Oryzias latipes: one gene and its partners. The protein of the gene in region 1 interacts with the protein of each later gene in a biochemical or structural test. Links are inferred from orthologs where the notes say so. Each region holds a gene or a part of one and is shown on either strand. Other genes may lie near its edges. The genes, in order: srf, ETS domain-containing protein Elk-1 and myog.

What was found.
Region 2: the proteins of srf (region 1) and ETS domain-containing protein Elk-1 form a complex in vitro, tested with the Homo sapiens proteins (2 studies listed by BioGRID). The link is inferred for Oryzias latipes from reciprocal best matches to the Homo sapiens genes SRF and ELK1.
Region 3: the proteins of srf (region 1) and myog form a complex in vitro, tested with the Homo sapiens proteins (2 studies listed by BioGRID and IntAct). The link is inferred for Oryzias latipes from reciprocal best matches to the Homo sapiens genes SRF and MYOG.

What each region holds. Positions count from the first base shown.
Region 1 is NC_019873.2:29,042,446-29,046,598, forward strand, and holds the start of srf (serum response factor), read left to right. Parts: upstream 1-1,292; 5' UTR 1,293-1,638; coding exon 1,639-2,268; intron 2,269-4,143; coding exon 4,144-4,153. UniProt on the Homo sapiens protein: SRF is a transcription factor that binds to the serum response element (SRE), a short sequence of dyad symmetry located 300 bp to the 5' of the site of transcription initiation of some genes (such as FOS).
Region 2 is NC_019865.2:33,754,872-33,759,022, forward strand, and holds the start of ETS domain-containing protein Elk-1, read right to left. Parts: upstream 2,852-4,151; 5' UTR 1-2,851. Other genes in the region: protein UXT, read right to left, coding at 3,676-3,726, 3,804-3,867, 4,121-4,151. UniProt on the Homo sapiens protein: Transcription factor that binds to purine-rich DNA sequences. Forms a ternary complex with SRF and the ETS and SRF motifs of the serum response element (SRE) on the promoter region of immediate early genes such as FOS and IER2.
Region 3 is NC_019863.2:28,569,191-28,573,320, forward strand, and holds myog (myogenin), read right to left. Parts: upstream 2,801-4,130; 5' UTR 2,543-2,800; coding exon 2,015-2,542; intron 1,463-2,014; coding exon 1,363-1,462; intron 1,281-1,362; coding exon 1,162-1,280; 3' UTR 436-1,161; downstream 1-435. UniProt on the Homo sapiens protein: Acts as a transcriptional activator that promotes transcription of muscle-specific target genes and plays a role in muscle differentiation, cell cycle exit and muscle atrophy.

The DNA of each region.
Region 1 (4,153 bases):
TTTAAACTTTTTAAACCTATTTTTAAAAAGAAAGTTCTTTATGCTCATGTTTAAACTAATGTAGTTTCCTGTTGACTTCCATGACAAGTTTAACCTGACATATATACATATATGCACACCGTGATGATGACGATGGATTTATCCTTTAATTTCTTAGTTTGAGCTCAGATTTGTCTTTTTTTTTTTTTGATGGAACATAACTTTACTTTTTCTAAATTCCATTTTTGAAATCTTTGAAGTTCTGCTCATCATCTTCTGCCCTATTTTCAAAGTCTTCCTAGTGGCCTTTTAAAAGTGATGATGCCGTTTTTAGCCTAAAACAAATCTGTGTCGTCTTCCACCGAGGCTGTTAATGTGGAGCCACCCCGCCCCCTTTCCCATCACTGTTCTGAAAGCCTAGACCAGCTTGTGACCACCCAGCATATTTATGAATCCTTTTCAAACAGCATCTTTTCTTCTGCTCCTGATTCACAGCGATTTGAACAAAGAAATGAAATGTCAATTAGAAAAAAGCCACATTTTTTTGGGGGGGGGGGGGGGGTTCTTTAGGTTGGGTGGTGTTGGGCTGTAGCTGCTCCAGATTTGGCTGATTTAATAAAGTTTTTTTTTTTTTTTTTTTTAACAGGAACCTTTAGAATAAGAGGAATATGGTTTTGGACCAGTTTTGACCTTGAAGCTCTTTTCCATCCGTGACCTTTAGACTCAGTTTGGTGACCTCAGCTCATTGGTCCAGCCGTCATAATAAAGGTAGACCAACAGGTGAGTTTGAGGCCCGAGCAGACTGAAATAAATCACCACGCGCTTTTTGTTGTACTTTTTGTTTTTCACGTTATTTTATTGTTGGCTTGTAATGTTTTTTTTTCTACATTTGTGTTGATGGGGACAAATGTTTGAATTACAAACTGCGTAACAAAAAACTCAAATAATCTGTAACGGAAAACTTTGTGTTTTTGTTGCGCTTTTCGGCGACATGAGCGTTGACTGTGACGTTGACATCACTGCAACCATTTTGGTATTTATTCAAATGAGCTTCTATTATCGTCCAATCACTGCTTTAGTCAGATAATCTTCAACCAATCAGCAGGCGACGTTGTGACTCACCAAATAAGGAGAGACAGCACCATATAAGGAAACGTTGTATCTCTTTATAAGGAGGAAAGTAGTTCCCTGGCTCTCGTATCACTCCGCCGTGGCGATAACTTTTTAAAATGCGGGATCATTTTATGCATTTCTGATCCACGTAAACTAAATAATGTAAATAAAGCGACGCCTTCACGTTTTCGCGTGAGTACATAGGGTGTTATATTCGGCCTTTTTTTTTTTGCTCACACGGCGAACTATGTGACGCAGCGGAGTCATATCGACGGAGCTGTTCGCGCTTTCCTTTTTGAGAAAGTACGGAGAGTTTTGGAAATAGAGGAGGAGTGTGGACCGAACGGAGCCGGGTTCGCGGGTCCGGGGGCAGCGTCACTCTCAAAGTCTGGGTCACTAATGTCTCGTAGCGTCCAAATCAACTGAGCGCTTTGTTTACATTGCGTGGCCCCGGCGCGTGCGGTATATATCAGGAGGCACTCACGCAACGCCACGCTCCAGCTTCTCCAGCTGGTGTCTCGGGACTCGGTCGGTCACCTAAATATAATGTTACCCAGCCAGGCTGGATCGGTACCATCTGGAAACGGGTCCGCGTCCGGCAAGGGCAGCACCGGTCACAGTTCGGGGGTTGTCGGCGGCGGGATTCGCCCCGTCCTGGTCCGACCGGGGCTAAGCGACGGCGCGGGCGCTGCGGGGCGACACGCCGGGGACAGGGACGCGGTTGGGATGCTCGGAGCCAACGGTCCAGGCGGCTCGAGGGCCGCGAGACCGGGAAACGGGACCGGAGGGAACCCCCTGCAGGCTGCCGTACCGGGACACATGGTGGGGCTGAACGCGGGCGTCGTGCTGCCCATGGGGGCCCGGTTCGACCCGGAGCGGGTGTGCAGCGGCTCCGACAACGACTCTGAGTCCGGGGACGACGACGACCCGGTGGGGTCACTCGGGGACAGCAGGAGAGGGGTGAAGCGGGAGAGGGGGGAGATGATGGAGGCTGCGGCGGCGGGGCAGGAGGCGGGAGTCACCCCCGGAGATTACGGCATGGTGTCCGGGGGAGTCGCCGGGGCAAAGCCCGGGAAGAAGACCCGGGGGCGCGTGAAGATTAAGATGGAGTTTATAGACAACAAGTTACGGAGGTACACGACCTTCAGCAAGAGGAAGACGGGCATCATGAAGAAGGTGAGTGTGTGAGGCGCGTGCACGCTCATTGATTGATTAAGATGATTGGTTCATTGATTTGTGAGCTGACAGCTCCCTCAGAGGAGGAAAGCATGTCCAGAGTTTGGGTCTGGAAGTTCTGACATCCTCCTCAGAGGATGCAGGATCCCGGTTCTGCTTGTGACGAAGTTCACCCCACATAACTGTATGCAGCTGCATGCATGCATGCATGGAGCTGCATGCATGCATGCATGCATGGAGCTGCATGCATGCATGCATGCATGTATGCAGCTGCCACATGGCTTGCAGGCCTGCATGTGCCAACAGCTGACTAAACCCCCGGGAACCGGACCAGACGATTGCACAGACCACCGTATGGTGCACCCAGAACCAGGAGCAGAACCTCATTGAATACTCATGTTTGGTTCTTCTGCACACGGAACCGCTCTCTTAAAAACCCGATCACACAGAAATATTCTGCTGATCATCTGAAGGTCATTAGGAGCCAGATTTCATAAAAACTCCTCTTTTTTTCAGTGTGTTTTTATTTCCACAGCACCATCTAAACTGTTGTGTTTTGATGCATCCCAGACTGTTGTCGTGGAAACTGTGGTGTCTTCATGTGGGCTTTTGGCAACAATGAGGGGATGGAGATTTCTGTTGCCCACACTCCGTCAGCCCTGACAGGAGCTGACAGGTGGGTGGAGTGGGACGACTCATCGTAGCTCTGAACTTTCATTTTGACGGATCCACGTGATGCTGGAGGTTCTGTTCCTGGTCCGTAGGTGGTTCCTTCTCATGGACGTTTTGGTTTCTCCTCGGCGGCGAGCGGTGGAGTCGTTCGTGGTGAACGCCGTGTCGTTTACAGGGAGCAGGGATCTGCCGCTGGTTTTCAGTGGCCCCCAACACGGCCTGAGATAAAGTGATGGTTCGGGCTCCTGAGTTCTTTTGCTAGGACGTTTCGAGTCTTTTTGGACCCGGATGAGGCCTAAGAAAACAGCAAAGAGCCAAAGTTTTTATTTGAACTTCTTTACGTCTGTTGATGCATATATGGATCAAACCACTTTGGCTCCAAAATAACTTTATTGAGCATCAGCCTGAGAACAGCTGGCATGAATACAGGCGTTAAAGGGTTAACATATGCCTGTTATTGTACGGCAATTCTCGTTAATGGCTCCGCTTTAGTTGTGCCAAAGGAACCAATCAGGCGGAGACAGCAGCCCCCCACCCCCACCTGCAGCTACTCATATTTATGTGAAAATTGGCAGAGCGAGGAGCCCTATTAAAGGCCGCCGTCCACGCTCAGGTTGACAAATGAGTCCGTTTTTCCAGGCTGGACGTTGGCCAGACTCGGCGGTGTTGTTGAAGCGGCGCCGCGGTAGGCAGCGAGGGGAGGTGAGCGTGGAGTCACGGCGAGGAGCAGAGGGGCTGGACGATTGCTGCTCTCCACCGCTACTCTGAAGCTTTCGCCGGTTTTACAACGGCTCCATAAAGTTCTCAAATTTGAATTTGATTTGCGAGTTCTGGGGCGACGCCCCCGCCGGCGTGTGCTGAGGGGGATGGCGGCCTTCCCTGACGGTGACGGGAGCATCTTCAGGATGAGCGATGACTCTGAGGGGAGTTCAGGCTGAGTGCAGCCGTTTGGTCGGATGTGTGTGTTGGATGCAGTCTGAGTCCAAGCATCTGCTGGAAGCCATTCCTCCGTCCTCCTCGCTGGAGGGACGAGCTTCTCCTGGACTCGAACCTTTATCTTCTGCTATTTTGGTCTCTGTGGTGAAATGCATCACTTTTATTTCTGGATTTTTCTGCAGGTTGGAGTTCTGACGTTCCCGTTGAGATGTTTGAGGGCCGCGTTTCCGCTCCGGTCTTCATGTTGTGTTGTCGGTCTCGTTCCAGGCGTATGAAC
Region 2 (4,151 bases), on another chromosome or scaffold:
CCGGCGGTCCAGACAGCTCCACAGCGGAATCAGACGAGCCCACAGGTGCTGCTGGGGGTTCACTAAGCGGTCCACAGCTCGGAGAGGGCTTTCTCGGTCGGGGATTCTGCGGCTCGAACGTGAACGGTTCGGTCCGTACTGCGCGAGTCGGTGTGGTGAACGGAGCCCCTGTCACGAACCGCTCACAGTCTCCTGCTAACTTTGTCAAAGTGAACCAAAAGTAAACAGTTCAACCCCTCTCCCCGTGTTGGGTTCGGTTCCGACTCCACGAACTAGACGGTAAACGGTCCCCTCTTCAGTTCAGCAGGCTAACTGCTCAGCTAGCTTAGCGCGCTTCTGAGGCGACAAGCGCAGGAAACCCGGTCAGAACCACTACAGTCCTCCGGTACCGTCCGCACTCCTCCAACACAAACAGAAAGTAGTTGGTCCGGTCCCCCCGCTGTCCGAACGTCTGTTCCGACCACGAGCTTCGAGGAACGGCCAGTTAGATGAGTTGGTTTCCTGTGGGGGGCGGGAGGAGGGGGGTACGGCTGCAGTCAAACCCGGCGGGCTTCCGGCTGACGCTCCGGGAGAAAGGACCGACCTCAGAGCGGCTCCCAAGCCGTCCCGATGCACGACGGCGGGCTGGCCCGGTCATACAAAGTAGTTTGTATCGATTTAGGCAATCGGCTCCAGCATTTTACTGCCTGTTGTTTAGTTCTAATAGTAATGCGTAACAGTCTGTCAAAACAAAAAAACCTGAGGGAAAGTGATAATAAACTGACTGTACTGTTCTGGGGAAATCCAATTCAGCAAATTGTTTTTCTGTTCAGTTCTGAGATACAGCTGGTAGAGACAGCTTTAATACCAAAAACTTTGAAGCAAAAAACCGCAGAGCTACAAAGCCCACTATTGAAAAAAAAAAACAAGTATTTCAAAGTTGTGATTATCTATCAACAGGCACATTAATTAACAGCTCTTGTGATCCATGCAAAGTAACAGTTTATCTGCAGTTGCTATGATCTATTTTTCTGACAGTTCATTGATTTTGATGCCCTATTCTAAGGTTTCTGCGTTTGTAACATTTCCTTGAGTGTCTGTTATCTATCTACTACAGTCACTTTGAAATGTACCGTTGTTTGTTGCTTGTGACCATCTAGTGCATCCTCTACAGAAGCTGTCAAACATCTGCTGCAGCTGTTATCTATCTACAGATGCAGCTGGCAACCCTTCCACAGTAGCTGTCCATGCCCAACATTGGCTTTCAAACATCTTCAGAAGCTGTCAACTATGCATCTACAGAGGCTGTATGTACAAAATTGAGCTGTCAGTTATATATTGTAGCTGTAAACAATTAACAGGCGTTGTGAGCAATCTACAATGTATCTACAATGAACAAAAACGTAAACCCAACACTTTTGTTTTGGGAGATTTTGGATGTGATTTGCACGTATTTCAAGTGTGACCAAGCACAAAAAGTGATGGAAATTCACGTTGATGCACATTGCTGGCTGATGCCCACACATATTCTAAGTGCATCCAAGGGTAGATTTCGTTGTTGGTCACACATATTTTAAGGTGTAATTGTAAAGACTGGAATGGCTGCTGTTAATTGCTGTTAAGCATTTTCAAGATAAAAGTTCAGTACTGGCTGCGCGGATTTTAGAAATTACGTACAACTTGTCACTTCCTTTGTTTTTTGTCTTGTCTTTTATGAGATGAATTTGAAGATCTGTAACATTTTCTACAAACACAAGATTACCATTTCTTTCAAAAATTGTTGGCGTCTGTTTAAATCTGTGATAGTGAGCACTTCTCCTTTGCTGAGATATTCCAGCCCACCTCACAGGAGTGCCATATCCAGATGCTGAGCAGACAGCATGAGTAAAGGTGGGCCTTAGACCGGCCACGGTAAAAGGCCGCCCTGAAAAGTTCCGTTATCACACATCACAATGACACAGAGGTCGCACGGTTTGAGGGAGCGTGGAATTGGCATGCAGAAGAATTTCCACCAGAGCTGTTGCTCGTGAAGTGAATGTTCATTCTTCAACCATCAGCTGTCTCCAAAGGTGTTTTAAAAGAATTGCTGGTTGAATTACATTGACCATGTGTATCCACACTAGCCCAGGACCTCCATATTCAGCCTGTTCACCTCCAAGATTGTCTGAAACCAGCTACTTGAACAGCTGCTGAGACAATCGGTTTGGATAACCAAAGAATTTTCACAAAAATTGTCAGAAACCGTCTCAGGGAAGCTCATTGGCCACTGATCTTTGCCACTTTTGTGGGCAAATGCTCAGATTTGAAAGCGTCTGAAGAGGTGTTCTCTTCACAGCTAAGTCCTGGAGCGGTTTTCCAATGTCTATGACGTGGATCAAGTGGCCCATGGTGGTAGTAAGGTTATTGTATGGGCAGGAGTATGTTATGGTTGAAGAACATAGATGCATTTATATATGGCATTTTGAATACACAGAGATGCCGTGACGAGATCCTGAGGCCATACATCCAAGAACATCAGCTCATGTTGCAGCATGATAATGTGTGGCCCCGTAGTGCAAGACTCAGTATTCAGTTCTTTGAAGCTGAAAACATCCCAGTTCTTGCATGGACGGCACACTCACTTGACATGTCGCCCATCATCGAGCATGTTTGGAATGCTATGGATAGATGTATACAGAAGTGTGTTCCAGTTCCTGCCAATATCCAGCAACTAAGCACAGCAATTCCCCAGGCCACAATCCACAACCTGATCAATGTAAAGTAGTGATGTGATGTTTGAGTAGTGGGGGAGGAGTTTCCACAAAGCATGCATCAAGGCCTGCTTCATTGAAGGGTGATGAAAATGATGACATCAGAAGCCTCGTGACTGATTCATGAAGTGGTTCTGATTTGACAGCCACATGAATCCTTCAGGCTCCGTTCAAAATGTGGGTGTTTGATGGAGAGTTACGGTCAGTGAGAGTCTGGACAGAGAGAGATAGAGTTTGGAGAGTGTGGAGATTTAGGCAAAACTGTTTTTTATTTTATTTTTAAAATAAAATCATCAGATTAATGTGTCTCTTAAACACACTGGCCCGATCTCAATGTTATAAAAGCAGGATCATAGTCCAAAGCCCAGCCACCCTCACATGGGGATGAGTACTGAAACTCGGTGCCGAGTCTGTACTGGTTAAAACGCGGATTTTGGTGTTTTGTTTGTGACCTGTCAATCTCTTGTTTTCTCTTCAGTTTTGCTGTACAATTCCAGCCAATCATTTAACCTTTTCAGCAAATGCAAATAAGAAAGGGTGGAGCAATGAGAGTAAGCAGAATTTCAGTCCAAATGGGTGAAGAAAAGGAGAATGAGCAGTGACATAGACTTCGCCCCTTACCAGCACAAAGGACAACTTAAATGTGGATGCCATTGCATCGCTCTGACCTGCCACCATATTTAAAGAACAAAGCTGACAACAAAATAGTTCTTGTTTGTTCAGAAACTCAGCTTTAGCTCCTTAACACCTTTGGAGTGAAAATCAGAAGACCCTTCCTGGTAAACTATTCTGAAAGGTCTGTGAAGCAAATCAGGTGCATCTCCCTGATGGATCCTGATCAGTGTCCAAGTTTCTTCCAGAATGAAGGTCTTTCTTCCTACTCGGCAGGTAGGTTTGGCTCCATGACAGCCGGATGTCCACTTTTACAACTTTTCTACAAAAAATCTCATTGTGTGCTGTCAAGTGAGTCACTGAGCCCCTGCAGCTCCCGCAGACCCTGGGGAACGCAAACACAACTTCAGGATTGCAATACATCCGTTACCACATTCTGACTATAAGCATGGTCAAACAGACCTCCAGCACCATCCGGATGTTGGCTCTTATTTTGGCAGAGTCCTTGGTGAGCTGTTCTGTGAAGCTGCAAAACAAACCATCCCATGTTAGCACCTTTTACACTGATCAACAATATTAGCAATGAACTAACAGCTGACAGGAAGTCTATTCAAACTGTACTCAAAGATCCAAACCAGAAAACTAAGTCTCCATCATGTTTAGGAAAAGAGAACTTTTCTCTCTAAATTCAAGAAAACAGCATATTCTGCTTTAACAGTGTGCGATAGAAAACTGTTTATCGCATCACTACAAAGGAATCATTTGTGGGCGGGACTTACCCTGTCAGCTGACTTGTCTTCTTCTCAATGA
Region 3 (4,130 bases), on another chromosome or scaffold:
TGTAAACTGCTGCTCGACAACAGCCAATGAAATCCAAACGATCGTCTGGCAAACTCGTCTGGTCTCACATGGGCATCACCCATTCAGTTGCCATGGAAACGTGCTGCAGCGCAGTCTCTTGGCTGACTTACTCCTCATCCGAAGAGAGCACAGTACATGAACAGTGGTTTGATAGACGGCTGTGCTTTTTATAAATCTATTTATTTTACAGTTTTTTTCCAAGGTGTGTAAAGGTGTAATGTGCTATGTGGCAGCTATGAGTACTGTGTCTTTATTCCAGGTGTGAAACAATGCTGACAAATCAAGATTTTATTATTTGGCTATCCAAAAAAAGTGTACTGTATTTATGATTCAATGTAAACATGAGTAAAGTTGTTTTTTAAAGATTTTGGAGGTTGGTTTTGTTATAAATTCAGACATCATCACCAGGCAAAGTATTGAAAAGGTTTTTTATAGCAAGAATTGAAAGGAAAATATCACTTTTGAAAACATCTACAAATGCACAACAATCTTAGTTATAAAAGTCAAAAATAAGTTAGCAAAAAAATAAAAAATAAAATTGCAAAACCACTCTGTAGAAAAAAAAGGGAACATATTTACATCACTGGCATTTATAACCTGTTTAAATTAAGCAGATCTTGGTCAAAACTGCCATGGTACATATTGGCCCCACAAACAATCTCATGTTTTGTTTAAACATTTAAAATTCACACAAAAAGAATGGAAAAATTTGGGAAAGGTTTTGAAAAGAGAAACATCTAATTTAAGTAAAGTGAAGAACCAAGCTTTGTCATATGAATCTTTGATTCTGGAAGCAAGCATACATGGTAATTAGGTGTTTTGGTTCATGCAATAACATCCTTGAGTCTGACAGGTGAGCTCCTGTTATCTACAGCTCTGAACTATGGGATAAGGCAGGCAATAAGGAAAAGAGGTCTCATTGTGTAAAGGAAGAATTGGTTTTGGCTTGAAGACCTAAGGAACAATAAAGTTTAATACAAACCAATGACAAATTTTTATAATTTTGCACAAGATAAAACACTCAAATCAGAATAAAAAAAGGAAACCTAGGTTTTTTGTTGCAATATTTGCCAAATGTTCATTTTTTGTTGTGTTTGTGAAGTTGAGCATCTGCTTGGATGGTTCTGCAGGTTACAGGCTCTATTTGGGAATGTCCACAGAAAAGGTCACAGGTCCGTCAGCCGCAGAGATGCCTTCCACAATAGAAGTCAAGGAGCGCATGTTCCTCTGCTCTGGAGAGTCACCAACACTCAGAAGATCTGCAGACAAGACCGGGTTCCACAGTCAAAACCAGTGAAGGTGTTCTAGTGACACCTCATGGGACCTTTGAAGAGTACTCACCCTCGCTGCTGTAGCTTTGCGGGCATTGGTCTGGAGTGCTGCTCCACTCGGGGCTGCTGCAGCAGGTGCTGCCTGAACTTGGTTCGCTTGACGATGACACCTGTTGCCATGGACACGCACAGACAGAAGTTGCTGTCAGTCACTGTTTTAATGCAGCACAAAACCTCGCAGATAAACACTGAAGTAGCCTCACACACTCAATCACTAATGCATCCTGTGGTTTATCAGAAGCAAATTAAAGTTTCCATCTTAAATTATGGTCATTAATAAGCTGTCGGTGTCACTGCAACTGTCACTTTTGGTTGATATAAATATTTTATAATTACATAATCCCAAATGGTTTAAAAAAGCACACATACATGTATATTCTTATTCTTGTTTTTTAAACATTTGGAATTTATATCTAAATAAAAATTCCGAAACATCCACAACCATCGGTTTTAGCAGGTCTTACAATGGGTTCGCTCATCAAGTTGCGCCCTGAAAAGGTTTTTTATCTGAAACCTAATTTTTCCATCTCTTGTAGCCAAGTTTGTAGCTTCTTGTCTTCCTTTTTCCAAATCAGTCAAAGGTTTCTGTTCTTGCTTTTCTTTGGCTGGTTTTGCTCTCTGTGACTTCTCCCCTCTCCTAAACCTGGTTCCATCCTACTTACTCTTGGCTGGGCCGGGCTGGGTCTGTAGTGCAGTCCCTGCTGCCCTGTCTCTGTGTCCTGCTGGTTGAGGGAGGACACCAGAGCCTGCAGCCTTTCAATGTACTGGATGGCGCTCCGCAAGATCTCCACCTTGGGCAACCTCTGGTTGGGGTTCATCAGGGTGCTCCTCTTCAGAGCGTCAAAGGCCTCATTCACTTTCTTTAGACGTCTCTTCTCCCTCAGCGTGGCTGCTCTTCGACGGTCCATGGTCACCGTCTTTCTTTTACACAGCTTACAGGCCCATGGCAAGCACTGCCCAGGGCAGTGAGACTCTGAGTGAGGTGACAGACTGGATGGAGATGATTTGTCCTCAGGTGCTGGCACTCCAACACCTCCAGGGAGGCCTCCGCACAAACCCATTATGGAGTTTCTGTCCTGGTACCCAGTTTGGTCGTATGCCCCGGGCAGGCGAGAGGGGAAGTAGCTGTCCCCTCCTTCATAGAAGCGCTGGTCAGGAAAGAAGTAAGGATTGGTCTCGAAAAGCTCCATGGTGGGCAACTGTGGTCTAAAAGTGAAGGAGCAAGGATCCCGCTTTCCCTTAGGAACCACGCTTGACTCGGTCTTCTTCTGTCCTGCTTCTGGAGCTTATGTTGGAGTGTCCAAGTGTATGCTTGTCTTCCTCCTGGCCTGAGTTTGTGATGAGTGGAAGACGTGTGGAGAACAACTGGTGTGGAGCAACTGTAGGCTGGCATTTAAACCCCTCTGCCTGTTGCAGGATCACAGGGTTAAATTTAGCACTTGCCTCCAGAAACCTGACACGACGTTTAGCTGTTGCTGCACATCTACACTTCATATCTCTGTTGGGCCTTGCTCTCTAGGGCTTTAAGACATGTTGGTGTGTTTGCATGTGTGTGCCCTTCTGCGGTTCCATGTTACCCATTTGAGTCTTGAGAGACCAGGATATGATCAAGTTGCTGTGGAACAGGAAATGATAACCTTAGATCAAATGTATTTGTCTTAATAAGATAATCCCAGACTAGATTCCCCCTTCCTGCCACTAAACACCTCATTCAGGAGGACACTCTGGGTGCAAAGGGGACACATGCAGGGACAGTATGTTGTGGCAAGACATTGAGAGTTTGTTTTTGTTTTGTGATGGCCACCAGAAACAATGTGGGAGAATTGACATAACTGTAAACTGACAGGCGACATTAAAGCAATTGATATGAAGCAGGCTTCTCTGTCTCTGTAGAAGACAAGTCTTTACAGGCAGCTCAGGAAGTTAAGATTGAAGCTAACGCAAGCTCACTCTGGAAAAGGATGGGACAGTATTGAGAGGACCAAGTAGGAAGGAAGGAACGTCCTAAATTATTCCAGACAGTTCTGGCGTTAGCTTGGCGGGCGGGTGTTAATCCTTCCAGGATGTCTCTAACCTCTAAGTTCGCAAGTTAATTTCGACCAACCTTTCCAAACATGGACACACAACCAAAAACATTTTTATTCAACAGAGAAGCAGCTACGGAATGGGTTGTTGCATCTTTGCATCACATTTTGTTTTTTTCCATAGGAATTATCACCTGGCATAGGTTTTGCCTATATTTTGTGTCCTTATAGTGTATTTGCTGCATTTTTATACTATTTATCTGTTATTATCTGCTGTTTTGTTATCTATCTATCTATCTATCTATCTATCTATCTATCTATCTATCTATCTATCTATCTATCTATCTATCTATCTATCTATCTATCTATCTATCTATCTATCTATCTATCTATCTATCTATCTATCTATCTATCTATCTATCTATCTATCTATCTATCTATCTATCTATCTATCTATCTATCTATCTATCTATCTGTCTGTCTGTCCCACTGCCCATCTAGTCAATCCAGGGCTATCTGCCACATGTTTCTATGCTGCCTGATACAACGAATACGTCCAGGAAAAACAAGTCTGGACATGACAAACCTTAAAAAGCCCACTGCAGTCATGACAGAAATCCATTTAAGCGTGTCATCTCGAGGGACGTGGCGTCTCATTAAAGCGAAGTAGACGTTAATTTGTAATTTTCTCTCCTTTGTTGTTTACAGAAGTGAGTCGCTGTCGGTCTCAAAATAGAAGAAAAGTTTCAGTTCT